Drosophila melanogaster: one gene and its partner. The protein of the gene in region 2 interacts with the protein of the main gene of each other region in a pairwise test. Each region holds a gene or a part of one and is shown on either strand. Other genes may lie near its edges.

The links.
Region 1: the proteins of for (region 2) and CG12065 interact in a two-hybrid assay, tested with the Drosophila melanogaster proteins (one large-scale study listed by BioGRID).

What each region holds. Positions count from the first base shown.
Region 1 is NC_004354.4:8,569,803-8,580,009, reverse strand, and holds the start of CG12065 (uncharacterized protein), read right to left. Parts: upstream 5,705-10,207; 5' UTR 5,603-5,704; intron 4,663-5,602; exon of another isoform or gene 4,660-4,662; 5' UTR 4,520-4,659; intron 1-4,519. Other genes in the region: spirit (serine protease immune response integrator), read left to right, coding at 7,104-7,182, 7,297-7,551, 7,703-7,919, 8,042-8,672; CG12111 (uncharacterized protein), read left to right, coding at 9,088-9,199, 9,266-9,720.
Region 2 is NT_033779.5:3,652,140-3,661,968, reverse strand, and holds the start of for (foraging), read left to right. Parts: upstream 1-5,015; 5' UTR 5,016-5,247; exon of another isoform or gene 5,248-5,261; intron 5,262-6,383; 5' UTR 6,384-6,699; intron 6,700-9,829.

The DNA of each region.
Region 1 (10,207 bases), on a different chromosome or scaffold from region 2:
GAAAACCCATCTAGTGCTTATCTTCAGCTTTAGTGGGCCACTCCATTGTTACTCACATATTATTCTATGTATGTTTCGCTGACTTGTTACCAAGAGATCATCAAATTAATAAACTTCCTATCGTCAGTTTGTCTGGACTTTCGAATCGCCGAGTGAATCATCTGCCGCCGAATGTTGCGCAAATTGGAAAAATATTTATGCTCAGATAGCAAGATTTATTTATCTTTGCCCAATCTCTCGTCAGATGGCTCACAAGAACTATTCATCGAGTCTCTTGTGTGGGCGATAGGGGAAAAACCTAATAATACAATAATAACATTAAAGTTCTCGGGCGAATCGGTTTGATGCAATATTTTTGGGGCGGCTCTTCTGTTCTGTGGCGACATCGCTGTGGCATGCGGCATTACCCATGCGCCCCACTACCCAACATCAATTGGAGTTCTACGAGTGGATCATTCGATCAATTAGCCGCGGATCAATACTCGGATGCAGTGCGTGGGTTCCAATTAATTCCCTCACTCCTCGAAATGACCAAACTCCATCATGGCCACTACATCCCCATTTCCATGTCCGCTGGCTTTTATGCCCTTTGTGCACGGAATAGAAATGGGATTATTAATACGCAACATGTGCGACTAATAGATACACTACGCAATCATTTGAAAATGCTTTAAATCGGAAACAAGCAAACAGTCGGGCTAACTTCTAATATATTTTCTTAAAATCTATATTAATAAATATGCCTATATCATTACTAATCTAATAACGTGATTTGCTTACTCTTTTAATTACATGTATATACTATTCTTACTAATCAGATTAAATGAACGTGTCTAAGAACAATAATAACCCTTTGCAGGCTGCACAATAATTTCCTGGCCATATATATAGTTTGGAAAATCGTATGAAAGCAATTACAGAATGCGTCCTATAGACGATTTCCATTAATTCTTAAGCAAAAACCCTTAAGATACGTGCTAGAAGTGCATTCGTTAATAAGTTCACTCGAACACGCGAGAAAAGAAAAGTCGGCTTCCCTTTGCTAACACAATACACAAGGCAATATTCTGGGAATTAGCGTGGCAAAGTTCAGAGCACCACCCTCTTCAAAACACAAGAAAAAAAAAAAACCGTGGTGGTTGGTGGGTTTGGGTGGATTTGGTGGTGCTCCATAAATTAGAGCAACTTGGCAATATGACCAGCCAGTCGGACAGTTTTATGGCCACGGAACATAGAACGCACATCGAAAATGCAGTTTACAAATGCTGAAAGACCCCCGCTTTTCCACACACACACAACCCCCATCCCCCACCCCCCTCCCCACCATCGATTTCAAAGAAAACCCCTTTTCCTTTTTGAGGGCAAAGTTCTTTAATGTGCCAGTGGGCGGTTTTCGCTTTTGTTTGCTGCTTTTCTTTTTAAAGGAGCGTCGATTAGAGGCTAATTAAGGCGTCATTAAGTGGCCTAGATAGCGATTAATAAATGAAATCGATTAATAAATTAAAAATAATGCCAATTTGGACTAAATTGCCATGTTTAAAACGCGATTTTCGACGTAAATTAATCAAAAGTGGTCACAGAACTTAAGGAAGTACCGTTTTTTAATCCTTATTACCAATACTAACCATTCGTATCATTTTTTGTAAAATAAAAATTTGACCAAATTTTTGCATTTTCTGTAAGGGGTAACATCATCAAAATTTGCAAAAAATTGAAAAATCTTAGAATTCCCAAACTTGAATGCAACGAGGTATGACATTCCGTATTTGGGTAATTATTTCCAATGTTATGATCAAAATACCGAATATTTTTATCACCAAAAATCTGGAAATTATTCTTGGCAAAAAACTCAATTTTCAAGTTGGCTTTTTTGGCTATAACTCGACTAAAAATGGTCACAGAGCAAAAAGAAGTACCATTTTATACTACTTACAACCAATACTAACTACCCCTTTCACTTTTGAACTGATTTTGTAAAATTAATTTTTGGCCAAATTTTCGCATTTTTGTAAGGGGTAACCATCATCAAAATTTGCAACAAATTGAAAAATCTTAGAATTCCCAAACTTGAATGCAAATCGATTGGAATTTAAAAAACAAACTCAATGAGGTATGACATTCCATATTTGGGTAATTATTTCCAATGTTATGATCAAAAAACCAAATATTTTTTTCACAAAAAATCTGGAAACTATTCTTGGCAAAAAACTGAGTTTTCAAGTTCGCTTTTTTGGCTATAACTTGACTAAAAATGGTCACAGAGCAAAAAGAAGTACCATTTTATACTCCTTACAACCAATACTAACAACCCCTTTCACTTTTAAACTGATTATGAAAAATTAATTTTTAGCCAAATTTTCGCATTTTTTGTAAGGGGTAACATCATCAAAATTTGCAAAAAATTGAAAAATCCTAGAATTCCCAAACTTGAATCCAAATCGATTGGAATTTAAAAAACAAACTCAACGAGGTATGACATTCCATATTTCGACCATTATTTTCAAAGTTTTGCACAAAAAACAGATTTTTTCGAATCAAAATTTGCCAATTAAATGCCAAAATCTAAAGTCTAAAATTTGATTGGCGATCGTTTGAAAATCGAATTAGAAAGACCACCAAGGTACGACACTCCATTGTTGGTGCATTCTTATGATAAGGATATTGTTACGAATTTGCTTTGAAGGAATACAATAATGGGCATACAAAGTTGCAGCAAGGCCCTTCAGATTCAGGTCACATCCACTCGCATTTCCATGTGCACAAATATGAGCATATTTCCCCCAGCTCTAATATTACAAAACAACTTTCAAATGGGCCGCCAAACGCACAGAAATGCGGGTGAAATTCGCAGCTCATCTCGAATTGCATTTGTTTATCGACAAGCGACAATGAGGTTGAATTCCCCATCGTCCCGCTGACAAAGCATCCACATATCATTTGACACCAGTTGCAGTTGCAGCAACGGGCAGCCGCACGCCTCATTTCATCCATGTAAAAGTGGCAACGCGATCGGGCCACAAATGGCAGAGGAACTCAAGTCAGGAGAAGATTGAGTGGAGATTATTTTTAAATGCCGAGCCGGACGATTGACCGAAAGACCGGGCAACCGGGCAGCCGGGAATCCGGCGGAGTGGCAGTGGTTGGGACTCCCAGTTGAATGACCCACACACCGGCGCCGAATATATATATGTACATATACATATATATATGTATATATCGAACAGATAATTATAATGAGAGCAGATGGTCTCGTCTCTTCGGGCTGAATTCTACATAGTAAGTGTATATGTACATATGTATGTATCTGAATTGGTAAACTCATCAAATATATATCAAAGTTCTAAGTGAAGAAATAGCATAGAATAGTTATTAGAATATTATTCAAGAAGTTATTTGAGCGATTATCTAGTTTTTTCATGATTCATAGCTGTCGAAAATTCTAGACAATGAGTGAAAATAGATGTGGCATCTAAGATTGCCTAGTTCTCCTGAATCTTTTAGAATGTGCAACAAAATTGCCTGGGCACAAAAACTGGAAAAAAAAGCCAAAAAAAAAAAAAAAAAAAAAAAACTGTGCCAAGTAAGCAACAATAAATATGAGAATGAGATCATTTTTGGACTTCTCTCACGAATCTTTTTCTTTTTCAGTTTCTTCTCGCTCTGCTCGCCGTTGTATACATTTTGTTAACCAAATGTTTTTAGCATCGTAGAAATTGTTCGAATTTCCACCGACTGGAAGAGCGGAAATATACACAAAAAAAAAAAATAAAGTGCGGATAACGTAGAGGGGGGTAAATGCAGGTCAGACGAATGAATTAGAAACAAAGCAATGGCAAATAAACTGCGACAACGAAGCGGAAATGGATTTAGATAAAACCAGTGTAAACAACAAAGAGGGCAAATAATGTTATCAAAGCAGCAAGTGCAAAATGTACCAAATACAAAATACGAATTATATTCAAATAACAACGAATACCCAGACTCATAAACGGCAATCATTCCGGTTAGTTTAGTGGGGGTCAGTATCGTTATACTCACTTGGCCTTGCTGCTCAAATTGCTTGAATTTGATGAATTGAAATTAGAAAATTCAAATGCAGCACGACAGCCAATTGTTTGTTTATGATACCCTCGCACTGCAAATTGTAATATGATTGTCACGTTCTTGGGCATAGTTCATTTTTTTACGGCACATCAATTTTTGGGAAGCTAGGAGATACATTTATTTGCAATAGAAAAATATATATATAATATATAATATATGTACATATTCCTCCTATCTGCTCTTAAGTAAAACGAAGTTACTAGATTCATTTATGGCTCATTAAGCTGGTAGACATTATCTAATCGGGCGATGAAACCAACCAGTCAAATTGTTCAAAAACTGACCAAAAGTGGCAAAGGAAACTAGTCTTTTTGTACTCGTAAATAGCCGTCATTATGGCCACCAAAAAATTTTGGTGAAAGTGCCACAAAACAATACAATTACCACCCGCATTTTGCCCGCTTTTTAGACTCACCTGTTGCTGGATCAAACAAACGAACAAATGACGTGTTTTATTTGCCACTTGATTTGCAACCGGTTCTCCCTTTTCGGTCACTATTATTTGCTTAATTTGTTTTATGTTTTCCTTGCTGGTTTGCTTCGTTTATTCCACTACTTCTAAAAAACAAAAAAAAAACAACAAAAAAACGCCAACGAACGTGTGTGTTAACAACTTTTCACAGAATTCTGATTGATGCACAGCGCATGTGGAAAAAAAAAGAATGCGAAACACGCGAAGCGAAGAATGTTTATATCTTATCTTATCAGTGATTGGATGGCAAAGGGGGTGTTGGGCAATTTTTCATTATCAACTGATGATGATAGTGCCGTACACATCGATATTTGCTCTGTTTGCTGTTTGCCCTTTTGCTTGTTGTTTTCTCGCAAGTAATAGTCACCAATTGCTTAGCATTTCTAAATGTATCCAGCTGACGTCAGAGCGTCAAAAGTTGTGCGATCTTCTGAATGCACCGCAAAAAACTAGTGGATCGATTCCGAGGCACATACTTTACATTTTCAATGACATTATTACTCATCAATTGTTGGTTTGGCTTTTTAAATACTTAGCATTCATTAAGTGATCTCTTTTTGTTCAGTGCACCTTAGTCATCTGATCTGTAAAACGGTTTTTAGTGACGTCATGAATGACAATAGCAGAAAGAGATGGCAATAAAAGGGTTGCACTTGAAATGAGCCAAACAATAACAACAACAGCACACTGGTTCACCTTCAGCTGATCAGCGGGTACTGCCATCTCCCTCCCACACACCCCATTCAAACTTCAAACAATTACAATTCTCATTCTGTTCATATTGTTCTACACTTGCAAAAACCAACAGGCAAACAAGAAGCACTGGCAAGACAAAAAAAGAAAAACCATTAATGCGAAGAGTAGAGAAGCTCACGTTCGCAAAACAAAGTGTGTATTGAATTACGCGCTATTTATATTAATTAATGGCACACTGTTCGCATTTTCACCGTTAGTGCGCGCGGCGCATACGACGGACGGTGGATGGGAAAGGGAAAGGTCGCGGCAAAGGAGCGCGCGTACACTTACGCCAAAATGCCGGCAAAAACAAAATGAAAACACGGGGATAGATGTTGATGGATGGAAACCCTTTTCAAAGTCCGTTTTGTTCAAAGTTCGCTTTTCAACTGACCAGATTCGGCTTTCGGTTGCGCGGCCAAAAATGCCAAATGCCGCGCATAGTGTGACCATCCGTCAGTGCAGCGTGAATACCGAAAAGCTCACGCGCTGATGCTCCGGTTACACTACAACAAAAGCTTTTGGTACAAATCGAAGCTTACAACAGCTTTTTAAAACGCAATGAACAAAATATTTACAGAGTATTTACACGACGAGCTTTTTTTTTCAATTGTCAACTAATTGAAAAAAAGCTCGTTGTGTAAATATTTTTGACAACCTCTGTGTATATATACATATGTACATATTTAATATGTTACACATTTTTTGAAAAATAAATAATTGGCGCAATACAGGGCCACTTTGGTTTACATAGCACAGGCAAAACATGTTGCTTCGGAGATTCTAATACACGATATAAACGTATGAAAACAAGCATGAACGAATATAAAGTCCCTTCGGCTTTCCAAGCCTGCTGGATTTATCTTCATCGGAGGTTTCATCTGAGGTGATATGGACGAAGATGGAATGACGAGGCATTTTTTTCCGATTTACACGCAGAAGCAGCACGAGCGTCCTTTTTATAGCATTTTAATATGATTGTACACAGTTCGATCGTCACTATGCGATTGTTTAATCATTATTTAAGCTTTTCAAGACATGTGACCAGATTTTAGTCGCCTTTCAAGCTGAGATTCCGAAAATCAGATACTTTATACTATGGCGCCATTCGCGCAGCCTCACACTGATTGAAAACAAGTAAGCTGATAGCTGGATACGCTGCAAGGCAAAGTATAAAAAACATAAAGTAAACAAATGTAAACAATTCATATAAGCCAAGTTCAATGAGCCAAATCCAAGTAAACAAATGAATTTAGCGGCAGAACCGGTTGTTCTTGCTTATATAATACAATATATTGCTTTCGTTTCGATTCTGGCTGCTATCAAAAAAGCCCAAAACTCGTGTCACAAAAGTCAAGAAGCGACCGAGCAGATAATACAGCTCGGGAATTAAACAAATGCGTATTTTTTTTGTTTGAAATCAATAAATCCAAGTTGGCACGACAATAATCAAAATGTATAATGAACGCGAATAACCTTTATTGTATTTCAAACAGAAAGTACAAATTTATTTTAATGCTTTTAGGAATCTATATGTGCAAAAAAAAAATGCACTATGTTTGCTCTACACTTTCAAGTTTATAGAATTCAAAAAATAAATGCACTTTTGTACTCCCCATCTATATTGTATGTATATTGTGTCGCTTTTCTCACTGTGTGTCCGTTGGCTTTCGGTTAATTGGCACTTGGATGTTGGAAGTTGCCCGGCTGGTTTCTGCTTTCCGATCTGGGATCGCCACTTGTCGAGCTGACCCCACTGCAGTCCGCCGCTGGCGCTGATCAAGAACGGAGGATGAGCATTCGGTCTACCCATTGCATACCCACTCGTGTGTATCTGCACCTTCTGCTGGTGTCGCTACCACTTTTGGCAGGTGAGTACAGGAATATCTGATCGATCAAGGGGTTTTCCCAGCTCAGTCGCGTCGAGTGACTGGCTGACTCACATGTATTTCACATCCATTCAAATGGTACTTTTTTCGTCGAAGTTCACGCCACGCCCGCCATAAGTCCGCAATCGTTGCGCGGCATCATCTTCCCCGTCGAAACCTTCGATGAGTGCCAACTGGAGGACGTGGCGCGGACGAAGGGCACCTGCCGGCGCATGGAGGACTGTCCCAGTGCCCTGAACGGCTGGCTAGAGCGGCGCGAATCGCCCAAGACCTGCTACTTTGTGAGGTTCGACCACTATGTGTGCTGCGCCCCAGCTGTAGCTCCAATTGTCACCCGATCCAGCCAGCAGGGTAAGCTGACCCACCTCAACATATCCATAAATAACAGACATATTGTATTATTGCAAGTATATGTATCATTTGGCCCTAGTTTCGAGCCTTATAATGTGTTGTCATCCATGACTAACCACAGGGTATCCCCTGACGTTTCCATTTCCCCCAGCCTGCAATGAACTGAACAAGGTGTCAAAGGTCAAAGAGATCGACGAGTTCTTCGTGTCGGTGGTGGGCGGCATGCCCACCCGTCCGCGGGAGTTCCCCTTCATGGCCGCATTGGGCTGGCGTTCGAACTTCGATCAGAGGATATACTATCGATGCGGCGGCGCCCTTATCGCCAACAACTTTGTCCTGACCGCAGCCCACTGTGCCGATTTGGGCGGGTAAGTTGGAACGCTAATCTGCATGATTGGCGGTTTTTCCCTGGCAATGGAAATATCCCCTGATATTCGTATGTACATAGATTGTTGAGCTCTCAATCCTAATGTCGCTTCTTCTCTTCCAGTGAGCCACCCAGTCAGGTGCGCCTCGGTGGCGACAATCTAACCCTGACCGAGGGCGAGGATATAAGCATTCGGCGCGTGATCATCCATCCGGATTACAGTGCCAGCACGGCATACAACGATATTGCGCTGCTTGAGCTGGAGACGGCGGCCAAGCCGGAACTGAAGCCCACTTGCATTTGGACGCAGAAGGAGGTGACCAACACGCTGGTCACGGCCATTGGTTATGGGCAGACCAGCTTCGCCGGTCTATCCTCCGCTCAGCTGCTAAAGGTGCCGCTGAAAAGCGTGAGCAACGAGGAGTGCCAGCACCACTACCAAAAGGATCAGCTGGCTCAGGGCGTGCTGGGCACGCAGATGTGCGCCGGCGATATAACCGGCGAGCGGGACACCTGCCAGGGCGATTCCGGCGGACCGCTGCTCATGCAGGACGGCCTGCTTGGCTATGTGGTGGGCATCACATCGCTGGGACAGGGATGCGCCAGTGGACCGCCATCGGTGTACACCAGGGTGTCCAGCTTCGTCGACTGGATCGAGGGCATTGTGTGGCCGGCGCAGCAGGTGACGAACGCACCGCAACCCAACCAGATGACCAGTTTCAGTCCCGAATTCGATCTGCGGGCGACGATCTGAGTTTTGCTTTCGAAAGCTCCATATATATACAGGAATAGATTTACAAAATGATCCAGCAAGAAATTATTTGAATATTTACATACACTATTAGGTAAATCAACAAATTTCAAGAAATATTTATTTTTGAGCTCGTTTAGTGTTTAAAACTTTATTTAAACTTAACCGTAAGCAAAAGCCAACTGCATAATAGCGCATATCGAATAAACTTGCTAACAAAATCAACAATTGAGATTTTAAATAAACAAAACCATATTTATAACTTTTCACTCATGTCCGTTTGTTGGATTGAGTTTCTTGTTTGGAATCATGTTGCTATTTCAGCCGATACCCATTGGATAAACAGCTGCGCAGCATGGATATATAAGTGGCCAGAACCGCAGGAGACGGATACTTGAGCACGAACCGCTGACCACTGATGTACCGCACCGAGACTCTGCTGCTAATCCTGACGAGCGTCGGGATACCGTCACTGGCCTATCTGCCCGATGTGAACATATTCACCAACTACCGCACCGAGGTCTATAATGGTATGTATAATAGGAATTGTTTGTAAAGTGTGGCGGACTAATAAAGAAATCCCACAATATCGCTAGGCATTCCATCGGAGATTGATACCACACCGTTCGTGCGGATCGGGGACAACTATTACTACATCGAGCCCATGAATAAGGTGAATTGGTTTCAGGCGGCCGGCGCCTGTCGCATGATGAACGCCCACTTGGCCTCCATCGAGGATAAGCCGGAAATGGAGGCGCTGATCAAATACATGAAGGCCAAGGGGTTCAAGAACAATGATTACTTTTGGATATCGGGCAATGACCTGGGCACCGAGGGCGCCTTCTATTGGATGTCCAACGGCCGCCCGATGACCTACGCCCCTTGGAACGGGCCCAAGCAAATGCCGGATAACTACGGCGGCAACGAGAACTGCGTCCACATGTTCGCCACCCGGGAGATGATCAACGATGCCAACTGCAAGATCCAGATGCTGTACGTCTGCGAGGCGACGGAACCGAAAACCTTCAAGTTCACCTACATTAAGTGGTAGTTTTCGATTGGTTCTAAAATAAAACCAGCATTACATACATATATTAAAATAAGTTCAATTGAAGTTGGGGCAAAACCGAGTTGTTTTACGAATATTACGAATATTGGTACATATTAAAAACAAAAGTTGTAGTTTTTGCCGGCTTTTATTTGTCGCATCGTTTTGCTTATCGCATCCGTTATTCTCTTTTCGCTAATTATACAATCAGTTAGATTTACGATTTTTGCATACTAAATTGTTACGATTCCGATTCTTACACAGCTATTGAACTCTATCATATACATACATGTATTATCGATCGATTCATTTGATTCACTTGAATTGAATTTAGTTGCGTTAAATGTAGTTAATTAAATTTAATTTAATTTATTAATACCCACTAATATCGCGACGACAAAAAACTGTGTATGTTTCGAGTATATGCATGTGTGTTATATAACAATAACGGCACACGTAATATGAAAGTTGGGAACTGCGAACGGAGCGC
Region 2 (9,829 bases):
TTTCTTTGTGCCCCACTTGACAACTCAATTTATTTAGATTAATCTCTCATCTTGGGCAAAAAATAAATAACTAAGTGAATTTCAGTTAATTTATTATGGAGCATCATTGTTATGGCTTTTCTGTTTCCTCCCCCAAAGAAGAAAACACCCCGTATAATAGCAATTCCCAATCCCAGTGACGCCATCTTGGATCCCATTTATTATTGTTTGCCTGAATGGGTTCCTCTAGCTGTCCTTCGCCCCTCGACCTCTGACCCCTCTCTCAACCCCACCCCCCCTTCTTGCCACATGGCTCTTTGGCCACAATTACGAAATGAATTTGTGGCCTTCCGCAGTCCCTATTCTTCCCCTTTTATGCACTGCCGTAATTCCATCACAAATCTTACCTGAAATGTTCTTATTCCTAGGTAAAACATTATATAAATATCAAGCGAAATAAAATACTTTGCTTTACAATCTTTGAAATAGTATGAGTAGATGCTCTTCAAATTCTAAAAAAAACATGTAATATTTTTTATAATATTTTGCAACTGCTTTCTATTTTATTATCATAATCCAATTGTAAAAACTTGATCATCATTTGAGAATATATTTTTTAAAGTGTTCTGAATTTGGCATTTTGGGCGTGCAGGATAACTATTCAGTTTCTTCTGGCTCTCCTACGCTCTCCCCTCGCCTGCCGCTCCTTTCATTTGGGGGTAGCCTGTCAGGCCTGCAAATTGGCGCCCTGATTTATGACTTTGTCTATTGTTAGCTTACTTCCTTTGCCACCCACAGGCTCCTGGATTGCGGCCCCACTACGTTCCTCCATCATTAGTTTGTATTTTAGTTTCATTTCCAATCCGAATTTCATTTCATTTTGCGCTTAAATTTTGTTTTGTCCTCTTTGATTGTGTTTATTTTCCACTCCCTCTACATTTTCGGCGCTTTTCTTGGTTGGTTCGTTTTAGTGGAATTACCTACTTCATAATAGATGAGTCTGGGATTCGTTTTGGACGCCAGAGAGAAGGCGTGGCACTCGGCTTCTAACGCCTCTTCCTTTGGCAGGTGAGTTTCCAGCGATTCGGAGGAGGAAAAAAGATTTTTCCATCCACGGAAACTACTCGTGTTGCATTTTCCACTTTGGGTGGATGATTTTATAACAGTTTGCTTGTCATAAAATTGTCAATATTGGCGAAGTTATCAGTTATGTGATAAGCTTTGTTGTTATGAGCTATTTGTTATAATTTTACAAAAATTACTTAGAGATGCGCTTATTAATAACTTAAGCAAATAGCACGCCTTGGCTTTCTTAATCTTCTAATATCTTTCTACAATTTGAACTAAAGTACTTATTTATTATCCCTTTTCCACCATTTTCTCGGTGCCCGGCAGTTCCTGGGTGAAATTTATGTAATTTATATGGGCACTTGACTGTCTAAATTGCCTGCAGAGCTGAGCCCCACCCGGCAGAAAACCGCCTCAATAGCAGGACAATCTCCAGTCTGCCATCCATTTACCCCCCCCCAACCCCACTTCACGTTTTTTCCAGCCCTCCGCCTTCCACACCCACTGCCCCTTTTGGAGCACGCTTTGCTGCCACTTTTTATATCATCTACTTAGCCCTAATGGCAAATAATTAATTTCCAGCTTCCGCGAAGCCAGTTCTAGCCTGCCACGCCCCCTGGCCAACGCCCACGTAGTAAATGGCCGCATGTAACTGCAGTTTCGCCCCCCCCCCAAAAAAACCCCCTCGCTGGCCCCTGAAACGACCGTTTTCAATTTACAAATTGCTTATTTTCCGAAAACCAAATTGCGAGTGCCTCGGACTTTTGCCAGGAGTGAAAACCCGTAACTGTAACCGGATCCGGATACGGATCCTGATCCGGGACCAGGACGAGGCCAGAAGCAGCAGTTAATGCATTTTACGTGCGGCCAGTTGGGTGGCGAGAAATAAGGGGGGTGTTGGGAAGTGCTGGGTGGGGAAAATGCGCTGCGGCGAAGGCATCTCAATTACGTTTATAAATTTTCCAAGCCAAAATGGCGCAGCCTCCGAAAATGAATAGCCGCCCGAAAGGGACAGCGCGAAATGGGGAAGCGAGACGGCAGGTGGCAAAGGTTTTGGGGCAATTAATAACCATTTCAGACCTCATCGAGATGCTGAAGCATATGAACCAGAAATATGAAAGGTAACTTAAAGTTGAGAAAAGATCTTATTAAAACCCCTTTTTAATATTGCCTACGCCATTGATCTCATAAGCATCAGTCTACCCAGGAAACTCATGAAATATCAACGGAAGTCCCCTTTCCGCTTGTCGAAATTTTATTAACTTCTTTTGGACCAAATTGCATTGCGGTTTATTTGGAGGCCACTTCCCATTGGCAAAAACCAACCCTTACCACTTTTTTATCGGCATTCCGATGCCTTCATCACCTGACTCCTGAAAACGATGCCCGTTTATTTATGATGCGACATTTCAACTCGCATTCGTAGGCTTGAAAAGAGCCTCGAAAATTTATGGGCGCCATCAAAAATTGTTTCAGGCACAAAGGAAAATAGTGCACTTCAAGTTATATAATATTAAAAATATTTAAAACAACTCCAAAAATATTAAAATGTTTTCGAGCTTTAAAATAACTTGCATGTTAAGTTTAAAGGTAAATATTAAATTATAAATTCGCTTAAGTATTAAACACAAATCTGTCAGTGTATATTTATTATTGGGTGAGTATGGGGCTGGAGCCACGCCCAGCGCCTAAGCAAATGGCCAAGACTCCATCGTTGGCCTTTCGGTTTTATGGCCTACGCATCATTTGGCTAAAAGAGGCAAAACGGCTTCCACGGAATCCATTTGGAGGCATGTCTTCGACTACAATTTGGGAATACAACAATTTGGAAGAAAAGGCGGAGTGGCATGGTAATCGTTCTATGAAATGCCTAAATAAAATAAATGGCTAAACAGAATTAGAGTGAAAGGAGCTGCGGCCCAAAAGTATGCGGAATGGCGTTTATTCAATGTTATTTATTGGGAAATGCGGTATCGCATTTAGGATATTTTATTTATCATACGGCTGTACATAAGTGGTGAATTTCTTATTTACGACGAACATTATTTGGCTCTTTTTTTATTGCAAGAAATAAGTGTTTTTTCGAAGAAAGGGTAACAATTTTGTTAAACAATTTAGCTTTTAGTATATTATATATTATAAGATCACATCTTTCCACTCTAAAAGCCAACGAAATTAATTAAAAGCGCAATTAATTTGTTTGACAGCTGAAGAAAACAGACGCCAAGCTTTTGGCTTATTTACAATAAGGGGGTAGAATGGGGGGCCAAAATGGCTGAAAGGGGTGAGGGGGCGGCAGGGGAGGCTGGCTTTTTTCTCCTTTCGTTTGTCTGATTCTGTCGGAATAATAAAAGTAATTTAATTTTAATGAAATTGTTAATACGAAAACAATTTCATTTTGCAAAAAGTTTTGCCTGGGCCAAAAGATGGGCAGAGACGGGGGTGGTGGGGTGTGGAGAGAGAGTGAAATTGCTCGTGACAATGAGTGAACGGGAAAACAACAAACAAACAAACAGGAGTGCGAGAGAAAAGAGAAGGCCAAACGAGCAAACACTACGGTACAGAAAATACAAAAATGCCGTCGCAAAGCCAAACAAAAAAGGCACTGCACAAGCGAAAGAGACAGAAGGAGGGAAAGAGAAAGATAGGGAATGCGAGAAATGAAATGCTGATGCGAAGATTTAATAAATGAAATTGGTGTGTGATTAAAAACACAAAAACCAAACGAAATCCATCTAATCAACTTTTGCTGCCGCCTCACTTTTCCTCTACTTTCTCCTCCTCCTTTTCCACCGACCCGTTTCTCCTTTTGTCCTTTCTCCCAGCTGCTATCTCTTTCCTTCCTTCCCGGCGACGTCGACTGCGAGAGCGGCAGAGGGGTGAAAAGAGGGTTGCGAAGTTGGGGAGGGGTGGCACAATACTGGGGGTGGGTGGTCTTAAGTTTGCAACGCCTTCTTGAGGGAAATTCCCGACCAAAGATCCTTGGATTTTTCTAACCTTACGAAATTGTACATAAATAACGGTTAAAATTAATAAATAATTTTTACAATATGTTACTTATTCCACTTAAACATTTATGTTTAATTAAAAAATTTTGAATTTTCAACATGTTTCAAAAAATGTCTTTTTATGTACCATAAAAGATCGGAAAATTCATTCTACCTGTTATATACTTCTTAACAAATCTAGTATACCCTCTTACGAAACGAGTTAAATAGTAAAATTTCCCAGTTTCTTATTCCCCTTTTGGGATTTTCTCTCTTCTCAGGCTCCACCCCTACATATGAGCAGAAAATGGCTCTGAAATGCCTATACATACACATATTTACATACATGACGGCCAGTTGCTATGACATTCTACATCTTACATGCATAATAAATCTGAAATGTAACGTACAACGTAAGTTAGAAATCACTAAAATGAAAAATGGCGCTGTATTAGTTCCAAAAACAAACACCATTTGTCGTAAACGGATAGGCGTTGTGTGCTGTTAGTTCCAAAAGTATACGAGAAAAGTTGAATAAATCATGGCGCAGAGTTAATCCTGCATTGGCAATTTATAATACTAGATTAATTTAAGACCGATCTTGACCAACTTCAATGATGATTTCATTCGGAATGATTATTAAAATCAAACTGATACATCATCTCTGAGAGAACTAGCAGGGAAAATATTATAAATTCTACTACTCTACTAAATCTACTCCTTTCACATAGTATATTTACGTTAACAAACAAAGTACACTTTTATTAATATGAATATTTTGTTATTTGATTAAAGTAATTAATTTGTAGAAAGGATTGAGCATAATATTGTTTTAAATTTTTTTTTTCTATCTCAACGCTAATTCATAACATTGCATCAGAAGAGAAAATAATTTTTTAAAAATTAAGAGAAAAAATGCTAATGTGCTCTTTATTTCATAATATTCGAGTAGTGGTAGCGAGTAAGTTGTTTGTTTCATTTTCAGTCTGTTGGAATTTCTCGTGCTGTGCGGTTGTCATTTGTCGCGATCGTGCTTGGAATTGACTTTAGCGGCATTTTTATAAGAATCAATGCAACGCGTGGTTTTCCTGCAAATTTTGGCACAAGTTCTTAATAAAAGAAAAAAAATATATATATATATGGCATTGGCGTTTATCAGAATAATCCACATCGCCATTTAGTTCGGTGGTTTTTCATCGACTTGTGCTTGTGTGTGCGTGCCACTTGGTTAGTTGTTGCTGCTTTCGCTAGTCGTACGATCTAGCATTTGTGCTCAATTCTGAATTCTAAAATAAAACAACAACTAGCGTTTTCCATATGTGCAACTATTTGCCTTAAAAAGCAATTAAAGCAAAGGCAGTGGTTAAAGTTGACTAAATATTAGTAAAACGTGAATTGTGAATGCAGTTTTGGTGCATTAAGCGAAGAGAGTGGAAGAGAGAGCGGCTCTCTTTTAGTTTGTGATTTCAAAGTGGAAAATTATTAATTCAAATGCAGTCTGCAATTAATTTCATGGAAAATCACTTGTTAGCTGCTCGTTCGCTCTGTCTCTTTCGCACTTCAGCTGACGAATTTTCCGTGCTAAACTTGACACTTTTCAGTCCATCATTCCAACTAATTCTTTGACTGCAGTTTTGCGTCGCATTTCCTTTCTACGCCGATCTGCCTCTTTGCCTTTCTTTTCTCTGATATATTTCAACAGAAGCTCAGTTGTTGTTGTAACTACTCCTCCTCCTTTTTGTTACTTGCTGCTTGTTTTTGTTGCTCGTCATGTACAATTTTTTCCAATTTGTGCGCCTTTTCATATTTTATTCTGCCGCGCTGTTTTTCTGTTTTCTGTTTCTGTCTCGCCGCCGCTACTATTTTTAGCAACAAGTATGGCTGATGTTGTTGTTGCTGCCGCTCAAGTTAACTACGCTACGCTGGCAGAAACAACAACAAGTCAAACTATGCGGAGCGAGAGAGAGTGAACTGAAAACAAAAAGAGTGAGCGATAAAATCCGCGAGAAAGAGTACAGTGGGGCTCGACTTAAATTATCATATTAAGCCAGATCACAAGTATTAACAAATCGAATGTTCTTAAATCCAATAAGCGTTAATCAGCAATGTTGATCAAAAGTTTTAAAATTATTTAATCGATATCAGTGAACTATTGAATACTATTGGTAAAAGCTCAGTCTTGTTTGCATCTTCAAGTGGGGGTCCCACTGTATTCGACTCAGGTGATAACAATAACAGCGACGAGTGAGAGAACTCTCTCTCACTCTCTCTCCTTCATTTCATTTCCCAATCTTTCGTGTTCGTGTTCTGTGGCTAATAGCATTTAAATTTTAATGCCCAATTTCATAGAAACGCAACGCAAGTGGAAAGACTCGAGAAAACAAAAGTGCAGGCCGTCTAAATTGATGGCGAAGTTTCGTGTGCCGCCTGCATTTCATTTATAAATATATTTTCGGCCTTAATTCTGTGCTTCCTGTGAATTAACGAGGAAACTGAAGAGTGCGCGAGCGAGACAGCCGATCACAAATCAACAAGTGGAAACGAAGAAACTTTCTTCGCAAAAGCCGGCTGATCGCAACAACAAGAAGAAAAGAGAGCGATTCTCTGCGACTGGAACCATAACATTTACATCGACCCTGGAATTTCTTCACTTTTCGTCCAACATGTAAGCTCCATTTTAATATGCAATTACTGTTCGCTGTTGTCGAACAGCAACTTATTTATTCATACTTATTGTTTATTTATGGATTTATGCCGCCTACGAACTTTGTGATTGCACAATCGTTCGGCCTTTGAATAATTTTTTTTTTCGCCAAGGCGCCCTTTTGTCTATATACCCATCTCTTTCGACTGCTCCAGTGCTGTCTTTTTCTGGTCCGTGCTTTGAATAAACAATTAAGGCTCAGGGTCTTTAAGCCCTTTTCTCCGCCTTAGAGCCGAAAGTGATTGTTGTAATTTATAATTTATATTTCCTTTCTTAATAAATAAATAAATAGTCAAGTTTATGTTTGAGTTTTATGATTTATATTTTAAGTTATTTCAACTGCAACACCAGCACCACGACCTACTCACAGCAAAAAACGTACAAGAAGGAAAGAAGGAATAAAAAGAGTGGTATTCTCTTACAATATGTTTTATGGCATAAAAGGTGTGGCCATTCATATCAAATATAAAGTAGTGTTGTTTAACGTTATTTTTGTAGGTTGAATAGTATATTCCAACACGCCCCCTCAAAAATAACGTCTATAATTAAAAACATAACAATAATATTCATTAGTAACTATCAAATGTGGGTGGTGTGCATTCTGGGAAGTGTTAACTGATCCAGCATTTGCTGCGAGGATACGGGGAAAACCCAGAAAAACCCGATCAGATCATTGTAACAAAATATGTTTACAGGAATTTAAATTTGAAAAATATATATAAAAATTTCATTCAGCATTCGATTGGTCGTCTTGCAGCAAACCCAATTTGTCTCGTAACTCCACAAATCTCGCAGCAGGCAACGGTTTTGTAAATATGTCAGCCAGTTGATTCTCTGTAGGAATATACTCAAGACAAATCACATTATTCTGAACTTGCTCTCTGGCAAAATGATATTTAATATCAATATGTTTAGCTCGTTTATGACATGAGGGATTGTTTGCTATGCTAATACAGCCTTGATTGTCTTCGTAAATTTTAATGGGGTTTTCTAGTTTAATGTTAATACTAGTTAATAAAAATTTAAGCCATAGAGCTTCTCTCACGGCTTCAAATAGGGCCATATACTCAGCTTCAGTTGATGAGGCTGCTACTGAGTTCTGTCTCTTTGTATTCCAACAAATGAGATTAAAATCAAACATTTTGAATAAATACCCTGTTGTACTTTTTCTATCAATTTCACTACCAGCCCAATCAGAATCCACATAACCAATAATTTTATTTTCAAATGCCAAGTTCTTTTTAAAAATCAATTTCATATCGATAGTGCCCTTCAAATATCTAAGAACTCTTTTTAAGTTCTGCCATAATTCGGAGTTATTTTTGCTACTATATCTGCTCAAGATATTTACTGCAGTAGTTAAATCTGGGCGTGTACAAAGCATTATGTACATTAAACATCCTATGAGGCTACGGCATGGGGTATTGCAGTCTTCATCTGAATTAAGTAATTCATAATTTATTTTACTAGGTAAAGGAGTACTAACTGCATTACAATTTTCCATGTTAAATTTACTTAAAATTTTTTTAACATATGCAGATTGGCTTAAATAGATTTTATCTTCCTGCATCTCTATCCTAATTCCAATAAAATGTTTTATTTCATTTAGGTCAGTCATCCTAAACTTTTCCATTAAATACCTTTTGAAGTTATTCATTCTTGTCATATCTCCTGTAGCTATAACCACATCATCTACATATAATAATACATATATGTTTTCATTGATGTTACCTTTGTCTAAAATATATATACAGCGATCAACTGAAGAGTTTACAAACTCACACTCTTTCAATGCTTGCTCAAATACTTCAAACCAGCATCTAGCCGCTTGCTTGAGTCCGTAAATTGCCTTATTCAATTTACACACATTGTCACTATTACACGATATACCTTGAGGAAGTCTCATATAAATTTCCTCTTTTAACGTGCCATTTAAGAAAGCTGTTTTTACATCCATTTGATGGACTTTCAAGTTATACTGTATTACTAATGACAATATAAATCGGAAACTTGAAATTCTAGCTACAGGAGCAAATGTCTCTTCATAGTCTATTTGGTATTTTTGAGTGAATCCTCGTGCAACCAATCTAGCTTTGTATCTAATTGGATTTCCAAGTTCATTATATTTAACAGAAAATACCCATCTGCTATCTACAATATTTTTGTTTTCAGGCCTTTTTGTAATTGTCCAAGTATTATTAATTTTATGAGCATTTAACTCTGTATTGATGGCTTCTTCCCAAGAAGATTTATCATCCCTATATTGAATTTCATCAAATGAATTTGGGACATCGTTAAATATAGTGTGAGCATTTAGAACAACTTTATTTAGACTATTATCCTCTTCATTATAGGATATCTGAGGCTTAGTCTTTAATCTCTCACTTCTTCTATTAATAATTTCTATGCCATCATTTTTAGTTGGATTATCAATTCCAATTTCTTTTAAGTGCTCTGCTGTTTCACTTTCCCTACTCTCATTCGGGTTGCCTGATCCCTTACTTTCATTCAGGTGATCATCTCGCTTTCTTTTCTTACTCTCATTCAGAAAATATTTATTACTTTCCTTACTATCTTTCAGGAATTGTATGTTGTCGCATTCCTTACTCTCATTCGGGAATTCTGTTTGTATTATTTTCCTACTGTCATTCGGAAAATTTTTATTTTCACTTTCCTTACTATCTTTCAGGAATTGTATGTTGTCGCATTCCTTACTCTCATTCGGGAACTCTGTTTGTATTATTTTCCTACTGTCATTCGGAAAATTTTTATTTTCACTTTCCTTACTATCTTTCAGGAACACTGTTTCAAATTTAACAGCTCTAGAATTAACCATATTGGTTTCATCGACAACAACATCTCTTGCGACAATAAATTTTTCATTTACAGCATCCCACAACTTAAAACCATTGGGTTCATAGCCCACAAAAATACTTTTAAATGATTTATCATCAAACTTTCCTTGTTTGTTTTTAATATGCACATAAACAGTTGCACCAAACACTCTCAAATGTTTTAAGTATGGCTTCTTATTGTGCCACATCTCATATGGGGTCTTTGAACTATCAACAAGTGCTCTACTAGGAATTCT